Drosophila melanogaster: one gene and its partners. Changing the gene in region 2 together with the main gene of any one other region gives a genetic interaction. Each region holds a gene or a part of one and is shown on either strand. Other genes may lie near its edges.

Region 1 (7,772 bases), about 19 Mb from region 2:
TAAGAATATGATTAAAAACTCGCTAAAACCTAATCCTCTCGCTATTTAGCTACCTTTCGCTTTTTAGGACAGTGGGCGAATACCCAAATGAGGGTGCACAAAGTGTTGAATATCTCACTGTCTTTGTCGCACCAGCGCAATAACATCTGGGCAATGGTGACCAAACCGCCCTCCTGGAACGTGTTCACCGTGGTGCTATTGTAGCGGGCCAAATTTAGGATGATCCGGCTGCAGCGCTCTATAAGCTGCTTATCCACCTCTGATCGAATGGCCTGAGCCATGATGCCATAGCAAAACGTGGACATGAACTCCGAACACCACATGAGCAGGTGTGGCACAGTGCGCGAAAGACGATCTGCCGGGATTATTAAGCAGGATTAGTTATAATAAGGACTAACGTAGCTGGATCACTTACCCAATCGACTTAGCACTGCTAACGCATCTGATGCGATAAAGCGTCCGCGAAGGAAACGCACCGCCTCCTGGACTTTGCAGCGCACAGAGTTTACCGCCTTTGCCTCTTGCCGCAGCTGAGCAATACGCTTCCGGATATCCAAGAGACCCTGGTGCTTCTGACGTCGTCGGATTAGATAGCCCCGCCAGTAACGCTGTATAACCTTGGCGGCGCGCTTCTGGCGGATGAGGTCCATCATCTCGGGTGTCATCAGGGCCTGGAATCGTTTGCGAGCCATAAAGCCGCGGGCACGTGCCTGGAAGCCCGGCATGGAACAGCGGAGCAGTTGGAAACAATTACGCTGCTCAATCATTAGACGCTTGCCACGGAACTTTTGTTGCAAATGGACTGCAATAGTACGCAGCTGGACAAATTCCTGGCGTGCCTGCTTCATGCTGCGATTAGCACGGAATTTGCGCTGCACCAGGATCACAGAGGATTGGATTAATTGGTAATCCTGTCTCGCCTTTAGCATAGCACAGCGAGCACGAAACCGGCGCTGGATCACTACGGCAGCCCTTCGCTTCATCTCGAATTCCCTGCGCTGCTGACGCATCAGTAAAGTTGCTCTGATAAATGCCTGCATAAGTCGCACTTTGCGGATGGTGCTTAAGAAGATCTCCCGTTGGCGACGAGCCTGCACTGTGGCCCGCCACTTGCGTTGAATGCTCAATGAACTGAGTCGAATCCTTCGGTAGCCCGCTTTGCACAGCCGCATGTCGCGTATACTGCGCCACCATTTCTGCAAGCGGATGACTGCCTGGCGCTGTTTTTGGTAGACTTCAATCTGCTTCCTCATCTCCAGATTGCCGCGGTATCGTCGTTGCACTTTGATAATGGCTTCCCTTTGCTTTTGGTACAAGACCACCTGCTTTTGCATTGCCTTCTTGGCTCTATATCGGGTTTGAATGGTAATAGCTGCCTGTTTCAGCTGGGCGTAACTCTTCAACTGCTTGATCATATTCAGACGAGCTCGGTACCGTCGCTGCAGTGTTATTGCTGCTTGACGCAGTTGTAAGAAACTGTTCCTCTCCCGTTTCCTAAGGAGATGATTACGCCAATGCATCTGCAGGCAGCTCACAGCAGCCTGGGTGCCGCGGTACTTGGCTCGCATGAACCGCATTGATTTTTGAGCATGGAATCTGCGCTGCAGCTTTATGGTAACCTCGCGCAGATGTAGGTACTCCTGGCGCTCCTTTCGCATCTGCAGCAAAGCCCGCCGACGTTTCTGGACTACAAGGGTAACCTTTTTCAGCTGAAGAAACTCGGCTCTTTGCTTTTTCATTTCGCGCTTGGCACGGAACTTGATTTGAATTCGTTTGGTTGTCGTTTGGAGATGAAGGTAGTTCTTCCTTTCTCGACGCATCTGCAGAGTGGCTCTCCAGCGCCTCTGGACATTGATGATACATTTGCGGGTTCTTAAATATGCATTTCTATCCTGGATCATTTGTTGACGCATGCGGTAGCGTTTTTGAACTAGTATTGAAGCATTTCGCAGCCTCAGATAATTTTCCCTCTGTTCGCGCATTTTCATGATGGCCCTCAGTCGCTGTTGCAGGCAGATAACATTTTTTCGCAGGGAATAGTAGTGATTACGATCTATTCTCATCTGGATTGTGGCTTTCCTGTAAGCCTGAACTTTAAGAACGCTGGAACGAAGTGCCAAATAATCAGCGTTGCACTTTCTCATTGAAAGCTTCGCTCGCCAGCGTTGTTGGATATTTATAGCTGCACGCTTTAGTTGCTGGAACTCCTTGCGCTGCTCCAGCATACTCCACTTGCTTCGCATCCTGCGCTGAACAAACATGATGAGGTCCCTCTGGCGCAGGAACTGCTGTCGCTGAATTCTGCCCAGCTGATAGCTTCGCCATTGCATTTGAATATAACTAGCAGCTGCCTGTTGTTTTTGCGATCGCTGAAGTCTGGCTGTTTCCGCCGCCGCCAATAGTTTTTTGGCAAAGAGTCGTCGCCGCCAGATCCGCTGAAGAAAGATCGCAGCCTCTCGGAGCTCCACAAACCGCTGGCGGTGCTGCCTTCCCAGTTGTTGGGCTCGCCACCAGCGCTGGATGGTGATAATACTGTGATAGCTCTGATATAGCTGCTTCTGGGCCAAATACCGACGGGTGAACTTTTGCAGAATTATTGCGGCCTGAGTGCGTTCCGTCTTAAACAACTTCACGTACTTTCTCATCTGGTGGCCACGGAACACGGCCTGAATGACAGTAGCGGCCCGGTGGCGACGCATAAGCTCTTTGTGGCGAATGCGACGCTGGATAACAACGTGCAGCCAGTGACGGCGCCACCATTTCTGGAGCACCGTGGCCGCCGCATGAAACTTGGGCGAGCGGAATTTGTAAATAAGTTGCCAGAGCAGGGAAAGCGTCTTCTCACGATGTCCGTCAACGATGTCTTGGGCGGCGATGTCGCCGCCTAGCTGGAAGTTGGCTTCACCAAGTGCGCCCAGAGCTAGCTTTACATTGAAGATCCGCTGAAGGCGAGAGATGGCTGGCACCCTTAACTGGCGGGTTAGATCATCGCGTAGTAAAATTACCTCCATGACTCGGGTTAGTCTCACGCCATCTCTTAGGTCCACAGCCAAGTTGTTGAAGGCATAATCGAACTCGTCCAAAAATGTTTGGCGGTGCTGTAGAACGTAGCCCAGGCGACGAAGTTCCCGCGTAATATCACCAATGTTGGCGAGCAGCTCCGACGAGAAGCGCAGCAGAATATCCTTGGTCTCTTTATGTGGCGACTTTTTAACAAACAAACAGGGATTGTGCTTGACGATGCGCTTCTGCTTAGCTTGATCGAGGAAAAGCAGCAAAAAGAGGATTTTCTGCAATGAGTGCTTCTTAATGGTCTCCGCGTACTCTTCGGTGAGTGTGTATGCCTTGCTGTACCTCTGCTCCTCACACTTATTCCGGAACAAGCGATTGAGGATAAAGGTGCTGAGGCCTACAATGTCTCGATTAGACTGCATCTGGATCTTCTCGCCAAAGACCACTTCCAGTCCAAGGCGCAGCCAAAGGGGATTGAAGCAAAGCAGCAGCTCAAGTATGGTGCGTTGCATAACTACGTCTAGGTGAAGATTACGATCGCTACGGATGCGCAGAGCTTGCTTGTTGACATATACGGCCACTTTGGAGCATGGCAGGCGCATCTGCTCACTGAAGAAGAGCTCCACAGCCGCCTTACGAAGCGTCTCCAGGCGGTATTTCGTTAGGTAGTTCATAGACTGCTCCTCCTTGGTGGGAGCCACCACGAGCTCTTTGTTGCGCACCTCGTTAAACAGCTTACCAACGTCTATTTTGTTATTTAAATCTGCGTCCAGGTCAGCGGGTATGGAGACAAGGGCATTTAACCACTTTTTAAAGTCAGCTTGATGACGATCCACAGCCTGTTCATCCAAATACATGGTAGATGCCAGAAATGGATCAATTGTCGTAGTTGCTGCAAATGGATCCGGGTTGATGCACGTCTGCATATACAGCTCCGAGTCATAGAGCTTGACGGAAGGCTGAATGCTAGTGTCCCTGACTTTTCGTGGTGTGGCGGGCTTCTTCATCAGTGACATGGTTTGTGCTAGCTTAAACTTCTTGGATTGGGCGTGTGGCCAGGCGTGGGCACTACTGCTTCTTGCAGATGCATTTGCCGGCGCTGCACTTCTGGGCAGAGTAGTGTCCTCAACCCGTTGCTTTTTAGGAGGGGAAATGGCTACAGTTTCATTGCGGTACAATGATTCGTTGCTAGGTGCATCCGAAAAACTCAACTCATGAGAGCGGCGCTTGTGAGGATTCTTCACCGGACTTCCCTTCACCGACTTCCGACCTACTTCATGGAGATTAAAACGACTGGACTGAGCGAGGATCTCACTGTGGTTGAATAGAAACTCCTGCTGGCCGGCCAAACTAGCCTCGCTACTAGAGGAGCTATTCAAGTCTTTGGCCTTTATCTGGATCTGCTGCTCCTGGTAATATCTATTCTGTTCGATCGAGCGGATTTTCATTTCATTTAGATTAGGCATAGACCCTTGAATGGCATACTTAGTTTGTGGCGATAGAAGTGACAAATCTTTCATGGACTCGGAATACTTTCGTAAGGGTGAACCCACCAACTTAATGTCCCTCTTCAGGTCGTGTATGGCGCTCTTCGTGGGCGTCCTAGGTGGACTTGGTCCCTCCTCCTCATGAATACAGGCCAGAGCTCTGGTGTGCGTGGCATGCACAATGGTTGTTGTCTTATTTAGGGGCGTATGCGGTTGTCCATCGATCCTGGAGCAGTCCAAGGTGTCCAACGAAATATTGATAGTCTCGGAATGCTTTACATCGAACGTTTTGTTTGTGGCAGGCTGATCTTCTAGATCATCTGGAGTGATTCGACGCGGCCGCATATCATTAGCACATGATTTTACATTCCCTTTAAGTGTTGGTGTGGGCCAGGCTGCCAGATTGTCCGGGAAAATGGTAGCTTGTCCTTTGCCACGGGTTTCGGTGAGAGGTGTGAATCGCAGATTGTCAATCACGTCGAGTAGGTTTCCTGGCGTCATAGGGCTTAGATTTTCCTTAAGACTGCGAGGCTGTGGTGATATGTATACGGGCTCTTCTTGTGGAGTCTTGTATACATTCTTCTCGACAAGAGGAGCCTGTGGAGGTGGATGTGCCCATGCAGCGGGACGCGAAGGAGCAGTCACTCGCCATGTCTGCTTGGAGGGAGGCGCTGCTGCTGCAGACATGCGCTTCTTTTGCTGCACAGCAGCGGATACCACGCTTTTCATTGTCTTGCCAGCTCCTGTCGGCGATTTCAGCTGCAGGGTCTTGCCGACAGTAGGAAATTTGCGCGGGTTCTTCAGGTAGAAAGGTAAGAGATACATGCAAAAGAGGGTATGTAAGTAAAAGGGGTGGCAAATGCATTTTTTGACTGACCTTGACCGGCTGGTTGCTCTTGGACTTGAGTATGATCATCACCTCCTTTCGGAAGTTGCGGTTGTCTATTAGCTGCAGCGTCTCCTTGCAGGCCACCTCAAGGACGGGGCTCCACACTAGCTCCATGGATACCTCATCTCTTGCAGGCACCGTGTGCTCCATCCACTCCAGGCTTAAGTTGTGCTCCTCCCGGATGGCCTTCATTACCTTGACCTGTAAAACATTGATCAAATAACAGTTGCCAGGCCGTATGCAACCCACTAACCTCGATGTCGTCGTCGCTGGGATTGAGAACGCGCACCTGGCGCCGTGCTGTCTTTGTTATCGGCACATCCTCGAACTGCACAATCGCCTTGGCGGAGAACGGAGCCATGACGACGACGGCGGGCTCGCGTCCTTCGGCGCGCTTCTTTTGCTTTAGGCGCGATGGCGTCACTGTGATCTGTAAGTACCGGTAATCTAGTTATTTCTCGGAAAATTATTGCCGGAGTTCCAAAAAGAGGACTCAACTAACCTCAAAGGCGCTCATTGCAGGGAATGGCCAAAACAGAAATAACTTGAACTAAACAGAAACGGGCTCGCAGCTAACTTAGTGGTCCATTAACACAGCGACTAACTAATCAATTAACACAATTAACGAACAAAAATTAAACAAATTAGAGCGTCGCCGCACAAATCCAAATTCGAACTGAAATTCGAAACGAAGCGACGCCGATACTCGATTGCTTGATTGCTGGAGCAAAGGGCTATCGAACAATTCGACCTATCGATTGTGAAATGTTAGGGGTCTTCAGAATGGTTTTCGATAGACTTAAAAATATAAGGATTACATTTGTCCGCAATTTTTAAACATAAATTATTTAATATGATAAGATCATTCTAAGGAATATTATTTTGTGTAATTTTACATAAATTGTGAGTAACCCAGATGTGTTAACACCACCAATCGATATCCTCAGTGTGAACGTTGCACAGTTTTATAGCGCCAAATTCAAATGTGTATTATCACAGATATAAATATTATGTGCCTTTAAAAATAAAATATAGGGTAAACAAAATGACTCGAAATATCTTTTATTCACAATCTATTTACAAATTTCAACAACAAACATTAAACTCTAAATCCCTTCGCTGGACCTCTCATTTTATCTAAATGAGTCTGCTGGGTGGCAGGAGGTGGTCGCTGCCCGTTTCTGAGGAATACATGCTCTTGAGATAGCCCGGAAAGGGTGTAACCGCGTCGAAATCCTCGCCAACAGAATCTTCCGGTGGATCCACGGCCATGAAGGAGATGGCGAAGCCTCTCAATGAGTTACTCTCGTCCGTTTGGAATCGCAACAGAAGGGTGTCCGAGTTGGAGATTATGATTGGCGGCTTGTGCTTTCCGCAAAATCTGCCGTGGATAGTGTTCATTGAGTAGCCCTCCTCGGTGATCTCCAGATAATCGTAGTCGCATCGCTCCGAGTACTCGATCTCGAAGTGTAGGAAACGGATCTTGACACTGCTTTCCGGGTCTGCCTGAATGCGCCAATCGCAGTACATGTTCCGCTTGTACGGCCTACTGCCGTATCGTGGATGCGAGTAGAAGGTCTGTGAATGATTTGTGGCCCTCAAGTAGCCACCACATTCGGAGACAAAGGTGGCCTTGAAACCCTTTCTCTGAAGACCCGCATCCGTGGCCAGTACCATAAACATCTCATTGGTGGAGGCAATAACGGCATACGGTTCACGTCCACCGCAATAGATGCCCAATGTTGAGCTATTTTCGGAGCGACCATCATAGATAGCCACATAGTCGTAGATGCACTCCTGGTGGCTCTCCACCTCAAAGTCGTGGAATGTCAACTGTATCCGGTGGCCCAGTACGGTCTGAAAATGCCAGTAGCAGTAAATGTTTCTTGGATAATCCTCCGGATAGTTGGGACTCTGCAACACTCCATACGACGTGGTGATCTCGAACTTGCAACGCGTCTCCGTGCAGTTGTGTCCATTTTCAGCCAATGTGTATCCATTGCGGCAGCTGCACTGATAGGATCCAAAGGTGTTTCGGCATCGGTGCTGACAGCCACCATTGTTCATTGAACACTCATCCACATCTGTGGAATAATGATATTATAGATCGTACGTAAATTAATTTTTTTCTGTAAGTTACCTATTACAAACTTGGCCACAAATCCACTTCTCTGGACAGTGCGATCCGAGTAGAACTCCAGCCTGAGGATACTCTGCTCGGAATTCACCACTGGAGGTAGTTCATGACCACAATAAATGCCAATCTTCTTCAGGCGATTATCCCTCATTTTGGAGTATATAATCAGGTAATCATAGTTGCACTTGGTGTAGTGAAACCGTGTGCCCTCCAAATCAAAGTGGGAAAAGTTTAGGAACACCGCGTG
Region 2 (5,669 bases):
GACCTTTTGATCATTTGGAGCTTTGAATTGAACACTCTATGGATGATTGATACCATTTAATCAATGGATTTCTTGGTTTCTATTATTATTTGTTTCATATTATAATTCGGTGATTTCGGTGTACATCACAAAAGCCCAACAGCTATACTATCCTTGACCCATTTTATCCAGAAATAATAGTACCATGAAATATTTTATTTATTTAAAAATGTAACAAATTTACCTTTCGTTCGTTTTGCATAAATAGGGAAGGTCACAAACATACCAGCGACCATGGTGAACAACCAGTTCGGCATGGTTGGCCTGCTGACGTTCATTCGGGCTGCAGAAACGGATCCCAATCTGGTGACGCTCTCCTTGGGTACGGATCTCACGGGTTTAGGCCTGAACCTGAACTCGCAGGAGAGCTTGCATACAACCTTCGCTGGCCCCTTCGTAGCACAGCCCTGCAGGTCAGTTTACATAATAAACTTACATAATTTAATTGCTTATTGAGTACTATTGAGTAAGAGGTGTACCAAATTAGTAACATTGGATTTGCATTTACTTTTTTCAGAGCACAAGACGTTGAGTTCAACGTGCCACCCGAATATCTGATTAACTTTGCGATAAGAGACAAACTAACAGCGCCGGTACTGAAAAAGCTGCAAGAAGACCTGCTCTTTTTCCTTTTTTACACGAACATCGGCGATATGATGCAATTGATGGCAGCTGCTGAATTGTGAGTACTTCCTCTTGCGTAGCTATTATCTAAGCTTCGTATGAACATATATAGAACATACATATATACTAAAATTCTGCTCCCATCGCAGGCATAGTCGCGAGTGGCGATACCACGTGGAGGAGAAAATATGGATAACTCGAATTCCTGGCATTGATCAATATGAAAAAAATGGTACAAAAGAGCGCGGCACCTTCTACTACTTTGATGCGCAAAGTTGGAAACGTTTGTCCAAGGTTTTCCAAATAGATCCCGAGAAATTAGATAAATGTCCCAATATAAGTGCGTTTATGAATGGACAGTCTGTATAAAATTAATAAAAATGAAAAAAATTGAAAAAGAAAGTATGCTGTTGTTTTTGCATTGCAACAAGGACACTCAACACTAACTGAATAATAAGTTTTATTATAAAAATTAAAAACAATCCATTTGAGTTTTTCTTCTAAAACGGTGTTAGGATATATATACATACATATATGCATATGTATGTATGTGCAAATTCTGGTACAAATTGCCGGTTAACAATTTAAAGCGATTTATTTTTATCCTGCTGGAGTCTAGTTGGTATTCATATTTTTAGAATATCTTTGAAATGTAACATTTTTTAGCTGTTCGATATTATGAAATGAGCGGACTCCCATTAAATTAAAAAGCAAGTTATATTTTTTCGATTCGTTGAAATGTATTTGAAAGGTAGAAGAAATTCTTTCTATAAAGTGATCCTATAAAAAATTACTGGCCGTGTCTGAAAATACATACCTGTCATCTGGACTAACACGACATACATATGTATGTATATTCCAATAGCAAATCTACTGCATTCTGCAATGCACAACAGCTCCCCCTATCAATGATACGACGGAACCATAGTTGGCATGATAATACATACATACAATATCATCTTCAAGCTTGTGTATGCCTGGCAGGTCTATTGTCGGGGCCACAATCTTTTCGACATATCGGCAACTTTTTGGGAAAATATTTATTTTTAAATTTAACAATTACAGTTTATGTACAAGTATAGAATAAAAACCTAATTCCCTTCTAGACTGTATGTAGTGTGAACGCAATGTTTTCGCTACAGAAGCGCTTACTGCACTTAACAGCACGCGTTACTATGTTAATGTCAAAGTGTCAACAGAAGCAAGAGGAAGAAAATTAGAGTTGCCTACGAAAATAGCGCCTGCGCCTCGGAATTTATTTGAATTTGATGCTTGTGGCGTCCCCTTAGCCGAATATGAACACGCCAGGTATAAGCCTCTTTCAGGGGGCGGATGCCCTTAACATAAATTCTACACTGGACCGGCAGGAGGAGGAAGAGGCGCTGCAGGATCAGAAACGACGCGAGGAAGAGGTAAGCGATCTGGGAATTCCTGGTAAACAATGTCACCGATTCCAATTCTACGCAAGCTTGGACGGATTATGGTGAATGCCTTCGACGATCTGCTCGATGAAGAGAACACAATCGACTCGACGACGAATTACCAGTCGGAACTGGAACAGCCGCCAGTTCTACCCAACTACCCATCACATCCGCACCATAAACCGCTGCAGGACGATGCTCAGCGAGCCAACGAGATCGAGATGCATCGCCTCCAGATCCTGCTGGAGTCTAAGAATAATGAGCTGCAGAATGTCAACCAGGTGGCCAACGCTGCGCACAAAAAACTGGATGACTTACAAAAGCACCTATCCATCATGCAGGCTGAGCTAGACCGCGCCATTCGCGAGAAGCAGAACACTCACGAGCTGTTGGTGGAGACCAAAGAGACGTGCTCCAATAAGGACAGCGATCTGGACAAGCTGCGGTCGGAAAAGAAGCAGTTGGAAGAAGATAACACGCGATTAGTTGGTCAATTAGAGGCCGCCAAGACCTTGCTTACGGACGTCCAAAGCAAATACGACATGGTGCAGGCCAGTAAGCAGAAGTGGGAGGAGCGGAACGCCGACCTACGTTTAAAGCAAATGGAGGAAGCGCACCGAGCCCAGTCCGATCTTTTGCAGCAGCAACTCTGTCAGATGAAGGATCAGCTTGATCGCAAGCAAAATGAGTTGGATCAGATAAACTCGCGCTACAATGCTCTGCAGTCTGGTCACGAAACAATGCTCGTAGATAAGGCTGCCAAGATTAACGAGCTCAGTCAAGCTTTGGATGAGGCCCAAATGCGCTGCAACCAACTAAGTGCAAGACCCGATTTGCAGGCTGAAAATCGTCGGCAGCAACAGTGCATCGTTGACTTGAAAGCCCGCATTGCCTATTTGGAGCAAACAGTCGCTTCGCTCCATGAGCGCCTAAACGAAACCACCACGGAACTTGACCTGATAGATTCGGTTATTCAACAGCATCAGGCGGACGAATCGCCTACTAGTCGGCTAAGTCAAATGGGTGGATCGCGCCTTGTTGGTAGCACACCGCTGAATCCTCTAGACAGAGTCGGTCACATTAAGCAGGAGTTGTATCGAGCTCTGGGCAACCTGAAGAACAAGCGGGAAGAAGTGCGACGCCTAGAGAAGCTCCTGGAGGAACGCAACCAGGAACTGCGCGTGCTGCGCGACCAGGAGAACCAATCCCTGGTTCAGCTGGAAACCCTAAACGAAGGCAAAATGCGGTTGGAAAACAAAGTGAAGGCAATGCAGCAGGAGTTGGAAGAGCAAAAACACAGATCACAGCAGGAGTCAGATGTGCACTCACAGCTGAATTCCATTGTGGCCGAGAGGGATGCACTAAGGGAAAAACGGCAGCAGATTGAAGAAGATCTGGAGCAACTAAAGCAGCAGAACGAGAGCCTTCAAAGAAATTACGATCAGCTTTCGCAGGAAAATCGGCAGTTGCGAACTCGAGAAACTGCAGACAACCTGCGCTTGGAGCTGGAACGCCACAAGATTCTGTTGAGGGATTCCCAGAGCGAGGTCGAGCGGCTTAAGAAACTCTATTCTGACATCGCCACAGACAAAGAGTCATTAGGCTATGAATTGAGAAAGCTGAGAGAATCGGACACGCTTAAGGAGTTGCAGGATCAACGCCAAAACTTGGCCACTGTTCAGCGAAACTTGCAGCTGGCGGAGATGAAATCAGAGGAGCTAAAAAAGCTTCTGGAAACGGAGAAACTCAGCCACGAACGTGATCTGCAGGCCTTGCGCCAAAGGAGCGAGCGGGAAAAGCGCGAAGAAGCAGTTGCGGTGGCCAAAGAAAGTTCCGAAAACTGCAGCAAGTGCATTGAAAGCATAGCAGAAATTACCAAGGTAAGCGATAACCTTTCAGACATGCTAGTAAACTAAATAATCTTATATATCACCACGGTTTTTAGGCGGAAATTCAGTTGTTGAAACTCCAGAATGTGAACTCAATGCAGGCCAAGGAACTGAAAGAATTGGAACACGCGCTGGAGCAGTCTAAAAATTTGCAAGCCGAGATGCAGGAAAAGATCGAGCTTTCAAACAAGCAGGACGAGCTCATTAGCGATCTTAAGGAGAGGGCCAAGCAATTCGAGGCGTACATTAGGCAGCAAGAGGAGCATAAGCAGCAGAATAAGTGTACGCCCAGTCCGAAATCAAACTCAGTTTCCCCGTCTGATCCATCGCCCAAAGAGCTCACCCAGAATCGGATAAGGTTGATCGAACAACGTGTTCGTGATGAGATGGCCAAACTTTTTGCAGCAGAACTCAAGAGGTTTACTAACCGGCTGCAAAAATCTGAGGAGAGGAGCCAGTGCCTCCAAAGGGAATACCAAACGGTGTGTGCAGAGCTGCAACAGCGGCAAACGGAGGTGGATCTTCTAAAGCAAACTATCCTGGCAGAACGCGAGAATATCGATGAAATTCTGGCCGGCAGGGAAGAAAAGCAAAAGGAAATGCTGCAGAAGTGCCGCCAGGAGCTGCAAGCGAAGAACCAGCGAATTGCCGAACTGCTCCGAGAAGTGGAGGAGCAGCACGCCAGCATCGACTCCGAAAGGCAATCTATGAAGGCTGTGATGGCTCAGTGGGAGAAACAGCGCCAGTCAGTCGACCAGGTGGAACACCACTGGCGCCAGCAGCTGGAAAGCTTGCGTTCCACCCACGAAGAGGCGATGCGATCCGCACAGCAGCGATATCAAAGTGCCAAGCGTACCGCCCACAATTACAAGTTGTATGCCGAGGACAAGGAGGCGCACATGAAACGCGAGTATGAGCGCATTAAGCACGAGTACGAGCTATCACTCGCCAAGATCGAGGCGACCATGAACCAGCACCTGGAGCGGCGGAGTCGGGAGAAGCACCGCGACAAAGAGAACGTGCCCAGCAATAGCAGCAGCGACCCAATCACCAACTCAAATAGAAAGCCCAAAGGCAATGGTCACAGCTAAGACTTAGGAAAATATATATATGTATATGTAGGTCTCTTTAGTGGGATATCGTTACTGCATGCACTGCCAAATTGTCTAAACAAATAAAAGTCGCTGTACATTCCTAACAAAATTGTGCTTATAAAAATCAGCTAAAAAAGTGAAAGTTTATCATTAATATTAAAAAATAGGTTTTTTATTTGATTGTTGTTTCTAGTAGGCTCATAATTTTTTCATTTTTAGTTTGAAAAATCTGGTTCCAGCACTTGTTGAAAATGTCGAAGAATTTGTCAATCTCCTCTCGGGTTATTCCAATTCCTGCCGCTACAGTCAGGTACGGAACTTGCAGGTTGCTGCGGTGGGAGCCGAAATCTAAGCGAAATATTCTAAATTTTAGTCGGAAAACAAAGACGATAGTGAATATTACTTGCCTAGAAACTCATGCCCGTCTATAGTTTTATTTTGGCCAGGAACTATCACTCTTGCTCCGGAAACTCCACGCATGTGTAGCATGGAGCCAAGCTTGGTGATGCTCTTCATCTGATCCCCAGCCAAAGTGGCCAATGTTATGGCCAAGGATATGGAGTTAAACCTGCTGTCTATAACAATCTCTCCGCGTGGCTCTG
Region 3 (6,298 bases), on a different chromosome or scaffold from region 2:
TGGCTTTATGCAAAAGTGAGCACTGCGAAAATATAACTTTGAATTTCTATTATTTTACTCGATATCTTCTTTAACAGATCCTACATTATGCCAGACGATCTGGAGAGCCTGCGTCAGGTGTGGCCCAAAAATGCCTCGAAGCTGACCAAGTGGATTGTTAAGCCGCCGGCGAGTGCCCGAGGCACGGGCATACGCATTGTGAACAAGTGGAGCCAATTTCCCAAAGATCGTCCTCTGGTGGTTCAGAAGTGGGTGCCCATAACTTCGTCTTCTTTAAAAATCTTCCCTAACCCTAAACCCCACTTCAGATACATTGAACGTCCGCTGTTGATCAACGACAATAAGTTCGATATGCGTCTGTATGTGGTACTGACCTCGATCAACCCACTCCGCATCTATATGTACAAGGATGGACTGGCGCGTTTCGCGTCCGTTAAGTACAGCTCGGAGCTGAGCAATCTGGACGAGCGCTGCATGCACCTGACCAACTACAGCATCAACAAGTTCTCGCAGAACTATGCGAAGAACGAGGATTTCAATGCCTGCCAGGGCCACAAGTGGACGCTTCAATCGCTGTGGTCCTGCCTGGAGAATCGTGGCGTGAACACTAAGCGCCTGTGGGCCACGCTACGGAATCTGGTCATCAAGGGCATCGTGAGCGGGGAATCGGGATTGAATCGCATGTACCGCCAGAATGTGAACTTTCGCTACAATTGCTTCGAGTTGTTTGGCTTCGATGTGCTCCTGGATGAGAATCTAGTGCCCTGGCTGTTGGAGATAAATATATCGCCGTCGTTGCATTCGGAATTGCCACTGGATCTGCACGTGAAGGGTCCGCTCATTCAGGCCGTGCTGAATACGGCTCTATATCAGGTGCCGCCTAAGCTGAACGAACGTCAGCAGGCGGACATCCTGGAGGAGCTTAATCTGACCGGTCCGTTGTGCCATGACAAACGCATCTTCACCACCTGCCTGACTGCAGAGGAGGTCCGCAAACATAACCAGTACACCAATCGGAGCATCGAATTCCGGGAGGAGTACGTTGATACCATACTGGACAATCTACTGCCGGACGATGTCCGTTGCCTGATCGTTGCCGAGGACGAGCTGGCCAGGTGTCAGCCGCTGGAACGGATCTTCCCCACCGCCGGCACACATGTATATCTGCGCTATGTCGAGAATGCCCGGTACTATAATCGCCTGCTGGACGCCTGGGAGACGAAGTACGCCAAGAATAGGGAAATGGGCATTGCCTTGCTGTCGCGCTATTGCCGGGACAAATACCATTTACAGGTGTCGGACGCCGCCATGGAAAAGGTGAACGATCAATTCAATTCAATTGAATTTCCCCTTCCGTACCGCTTCTGTAGTCCATTTTCAAGTCATATTTCTTATCTAGGAACCAAATGTTGCACTTACCGAGATCGATATGCTGCACGTGCGAAAGGATGAGGTCTTGGACGGTGCCACCACGCTGGCCATACTTAAGCCCGTTGTCCAGGAGGGCTGCGAGGTGGCGCCGATTCCGGATGCCTGCATCGAGATCAAGTCCTGAAATTGAACCGAACTATCAGCACTATCACCATTGCTTCTTCCATTGCCATTGCCATTTCCATTCCCGTTTCCGTTACCAGCTCACAGCTGTGCCAGCATCCCGTGCAGATGTGCTCCGGAATTGTATCCGCTCAGTAAATTCACTTAACTTCGATCGTCTTTGGTGGCAATAGCCTGTTTTGGCATCCAGCTAGAAATTGGATCACACGTCATTTCAGTAAATATAAAACACTACGGGGTGTTTAAAAAAATTATGAAAATAAATATTTTATTTAAATTTAGTTCTTATTATTTATTCTTTATGCGAACACTGTAAACTGTAAAGAGTATCGGTTTTCTTATTGGGTAATTGCTCAGCACAGTACTAAGCTTTTTGAACTACGCGGGCTTTGGCAGTTGCGATAAGTCTAAGGAAGTGCAATCGATAACTAGCGGCGCAGTCTTGAGTTTTCAAGCTGCCGATAACGACATCACGCCTCCAATTATCGATAGACGTAGTATAATAACAATAAACAAAAATTCACTGTATTGCACGGCGCTAAAATAAAAATTAAGTTTGCAAATCATGGCGTGGACTGAATTATAAACCCGGCTTGAAACCAAAGGACTGCAAGTGGAACAGCTGAGCTGCACACTTGGGAAATTGCCAATCTGAAACTGCGTGGAAAAAAGAGTGGCCCATTGATTTTTCGCTAAGTATCTGCTGATTAAAAAAAAATTGACCGCAGCGTTGGAATTTCGGCCTGCCAATCAGAAAAATGAGTGGTAAGAAGCCAGTTCTATGCAAGAATGGGCACTATATATTAGTAACTAATAATATGATTTGCGGGGATTGGGATTTGCGTGCTGACTGTATGGGAATTTGCAGTCTGCTTTTGGGGAGTTGGGGTTAATGTTCAGCGGGCCGGGGGCTTCGAGGTCCTGGCTAAAAAGGACGCACCTGCGCCCTGACCTCCTCTCCAACTTCTTGAAAAGTGCGGACCCCTCGATGAAGTCATCAATTTTGTAACATGCACACGTATACAGTGAAGCTTGCATTATGTATTTCCTTTTTGGGCTTTTTGTTTTACATAATTCTGATATTGTGTTTAATGCATAATAAGTATGAAGTGGTAAACCTTAGTTTCTACCCACTGTGCTTTGTTAACCCAAACAGGCGACGAAAGTGGCGAGGAGAAGCACGTCCTGAACTTGTCCAAGCAAAAGCTGAAGAAGGTGCCCAAGCAGGACGATGCGCACAGCATACGGCAGCTCATCCTGGACGAGAACGAGCTGCAGAAGATCGACAACATAGACTCGTATCTCAAAATTGAAACGGTGACTTGCAACGTTCTGCGAAAAGAAACAAGTTCCTAATTAACAGAAATTCAAATATTTCAGCTCTCCTTGGCCAGAAATCAATTGCTGCGCATGTATGGCGTCTGCCGGCTGCATTGCCTGCGTGAACTGAATCTGTCCTTCAATGGCATACTCTCTATCGAGGGCCTGAAGGAATGCATCCATCTGCGCGTTCTGAATCTGGAGGGGAATAACATCAAGACCATCGAGCATCTGAACACGAATGTCAATCTGGAGTGCCTGAATCTGGCGGATAATAGCATTGGCAGCATTTCGGATATGTCCTATTTGCGCAATCTCAAGGAGCTATATTTGCACGGAAATCGCTTGACGCATCTGAGGCAGTGCGACAAGTGTTTGCCCACCTCACTGGAAACCCTAACGTTGGCCAAGAATAGCATCAACGATCTCAACGAGATCTGTACGCTGTCGCATCTGAGCAACTTGCTGAGCATTTCCATTGCGGATAATCCCTGTGTGACCATGATCAACAGTTTGGAGTGAGTTAGCTTAATGGATCATATGGATTGCGCTTAAAATGTAACATCTCTTGCAGTGGCTTTGATTACCGACCTTTTGTTTTAAACTGGTGCATGAGCCTCAAGTACATCGATGGCTTTGTGGTCGATCCTATTGAGAGTCTTAAGGCCGAATGGCTGTATAGCCAGGGACGTGGTCGCCAGTTCCGTGTGGGCGAGCAGCAGGGCTTGGCAAAATACCTAAGTTCTGTGTGCCCGCTGGTGGGCAAGGCGCTGGAAAATGAAAACGATAGGAAACTCCGGCTGATCCTCAGCAAGGCGCAACACCATCAGCGGCAGCTGCAGGAAGAGATCATGGATAACGCAAATAGTTCTGCCAGCACTTCGCCCTCATCCCATCGCAAGAAGCCCACGAGTCGCATTCAGTCGCCCAGATGTAAGTTATTAACTCCCTATCTATGCTTTTTCATATAACTTATATTTTTCTGTCTTCGATTTAAAGTCTCCCGCTTGAGTGGCCGCCAGGGATCACCGGAGTCCATGGTGAATAGCTATCACGGGAACAGCAGCAACAATAGCATTGTTAGCGACAATGGATCTACGAATCATTCGCTGCAAATGAGCATTTCGCTCATTGAGAACATTAAAAACGATGGCGAAGGCTTTAGTTTGGCCGGCAGCGGAATGTCCAGCAGCGTGACCACCAAGACATACAATTCCACGGAGTCCACGCCACGGAATATAACACCCAATCCCTACAATGGTATGACAATTAAAATATATTCAATGCAAGAGTGGAAAATGATGTTAATAGTAAACAACAATTCCACAGATCAAACGTTCATCAGTCAAACCCCATCTGGTGGTCCATTGGCGGCTGCCTCGAAAATGGTCCCAGTTCCGGAGACTCTGATGAGCCCGGATGTCTGTCCCGCCGCTGTGGCCCAAAGAGTTACGGTTACGGCACTGAACCCTCAGCTGCACAAGACCAAGATCAACAAAAATAAAGGTAGCCAGTAGTTGTTACTCTAGACTTTTAAAACGACACAGATTTCTAAAACATACATACACATTTACACTACAGACAACAAACTGAACTTGCCAAGAGTGCGAAGTCCACAACTGAAGAGGAACCAAAGCCCTACGAGCAGTCCACGGAGGATGGCCAATAAGTGCAGCGCGGACAACATGCAGGCACCGGAGAAACTCCAGCAATCGGCTGTTTTGGCCGATAGCGGTGGCTTCAGCACCGACGACGACGGCGAGCAAATCAACATAGAGAAACTGAGAGCAATCCGGAAGATGGCCGCTCAGAAGCAACAGCAGATGCATCAGGAGCAGCTGAAGCAGCAGGTGGACAACAACCTGAACTGCCAGGATCGGCTGATCGAGCACGTGACAGAGTCCTCGGCCGTTACCATCCAAAAGATGTGGCGAGGCTATCACACACGCAAGAAGACCAACAAGGACATAGCCGAGCGATTGCAGCGACGACGCACACAGGAGTATATCGAGTAGGTGGTCTCGTTTTAGGCAACATATATCGCAACTTTCTAATGCTCTATCTGTCGCATTCCTCAGACAACTCGGCAAGGATATGCTACTTACGAAGGCCCAGCTCGAGAACGAGCGAAAGATTCAGCAGCTGCAGATGCAGGCCATCAATGCGCTGTGGAAAAAGGTGTCCACCATGGAGGTGGATCCCAAGGGAATACCTGCTGCTGCGGAACAGGGCGAGGACTCCAATGGCGGAGGGTCTGGCCACCTGAGTCTCGATCAAAATTCAGCCGCCGTGGTAAATGATTTGGCGAAAAGATGCACCATGCTCACCGATCAGGTTCAAATGCTGCAAAGCTCGATTGGAACCATCGTCAACTGCCTCACAATGGTGTGCAATCTGCCGCAGGACGCTATTAAGAAGCAGGCCGAGATCATTGATTGCAGCTCCACTCAGACGGACCTCATTGCCGTACACACGCCGCAAATAGAGGACCTCACCAATTTTCCATTCACCAAAACAAGGCCCTCAACCTTGGCCCTAGAATCCAAGCACGAAGCTGCTCTGGCTTGTCCCAAAATCGATGAATTGAATGATGTCGACCTGAAGGAGACCCAAGAAGACTCGGAAAATCTTGATAAAGATCCATGAACAAATCCCAGTTAATAAATGAGGAGTATAAACGCTTTAAGGGTCGATCTCAGCGCTTATTAATTCCTTTCTTAGGCTTTTGTGTAGCTTTTGCAACAATATTAGATCGGTTACGAGAACTTAGAAGTAGCACCAGCATTCACAAACACATTACTTTGTTACATTCCTGAGATGCAGCGATGGTGGAAGACTTAACAATAGTATGAACAAATCGTAAATACAAATTTTTGTAAAGCACAAAAGGTGTTCTTGATTGCGGGCAGATTTTGTTCAAAAACAACACCAGCATTAACCAACAGTTTTTTTTTAATTAAGTTTGACAAATTTGTAAATAACCTAACTATGTGTGTGTTTGTACATCGTTCAGTCCTCTTCGCTGGATGTTTCCTCATCTTCCTCTTCGTCGGAGGAATCGCGATTTACAGGCCGATTTGTATTGGGCAGGAGATCATCCTCGAAATCGGAGTCGTCTTTGTTTTGGCTGGTGGCTTCCTCCTGTACAGGTTTCTTTGTGAATTTATCCGGCCAAATTGCAGCTTTTGTGTATTCCTTTATATGTTCGGGTGTGAGTATTTTGCAAATCTCGGCTTTGACTTTATCGCCCTCCTCAATCGGTTCGACCAGCAGAAAGTCGCCACGTTTCACCCACATGCTCTTGCGGAATTTGTTGGGCATCGAAACTAAAAGGGTCAGAAGGATACAAATTCATTATTAAGTATCAACATGAAATGAGTTGGGATGGGCTATCTCAACATGTCTTTATCGAGACGTTCAGACG

Evidence for each region.
Region 1: of asl (region 2) and asp, changing one enhances a phenotype caused by changing the other (phenotypic enhancement), as found in Drosophila melanogaster (one study listed by BioGRID).
Region 3: of asl (region 2) and Cep97, changing one suppresses a phenotype caused by changing the other (phenotypic suppression), as found in Drosophila melanogaster (one study listed by BioGRID).

The regions. Positions count from the first base shown.
Region 1 is NT_033777.3:24,752,174-24,759,945, reverse strand, and holds the start of asp (abnormal spindle), read right to left. Parts: upstream 6,098-7,772; 5' UTR 5,906-6,097; coding exon 5,891-5,905; intron 5,819-5,890; coding exon 5,642-5,818; intron 5,590-5,641; coding exon 5,377-5,589; intron 5,298-5,376; coding exon 416-5,297; intron 356-415; coding exon 54-355; intron 1-53. Other genes in the region: tld (tolloid), read right to left, coding at 6,526-7,472, 7,529-7,772. UniProt on the Drosophila melanogaster protein: Required to maintain the structure of the centrosomal microtubule organizing center (MTOC) during mitosis. May have a preferential role in regulating neurogenesis. Required for germ cell mitosis and oocyte differentiation.
Region 2 is NT_033777.3:5,602,736-5,608,404, reverse strand, and holds asl (asterless), read left to right. Parts: upstream 1-1,861; 5' UTR 1,862-1,958; coding exon 1,959-2,075; intron 2,076-2,131; coding exon 2,132-3,964; intron 3,965-4,029; coding exon 4,030-5,064; 3' UTR 5,065-5,169; downstream 5,170-5,669. Other genes in the region: Rga (regena), read left to right, coding at 248-452, 557-721, 813-1,032; SecS (Sec synthetase), read right to left, coding at 5,240-5,415, 5,475-5,669.
Region 3 is NT_033779.5:3,865,670-3,871,967, forward strand, and holds Cep97 (centrosomal protein 97kDa), read left to right. Parts: upstream 1-2,027; 5' UTR 2,028-2,312; coding exon 2,313-2,319; intron 2,320-2,710; coding exon 2,711-2,871; intron 2,872-2,934; coding exon 2,935-3,392; intron 3,393-3,448; coding exon 3,449-3,807; intron 3,808-3,873; coding exon 3,874-4,134; intron 4,135-4,203; coding exon 4,204-4,380; intron 4,381-4,420; exon of another isoform or gene 4,421-4,455; coding exon 4,456-4,885; intron 4,886-4,952; coding exon 4,953-5,520; 3' UTR 5,521-5,756; downstream 5,757-6,298. Other genes in the region: TTLL4B (tubulin tyrosine ligase-like 4B), read left to right, coding at 1-15, 78-248, 309-1,317, 1,400-1,555; CG31957 (uncharacterized protein), read right to left, coding at 5,884-6,200.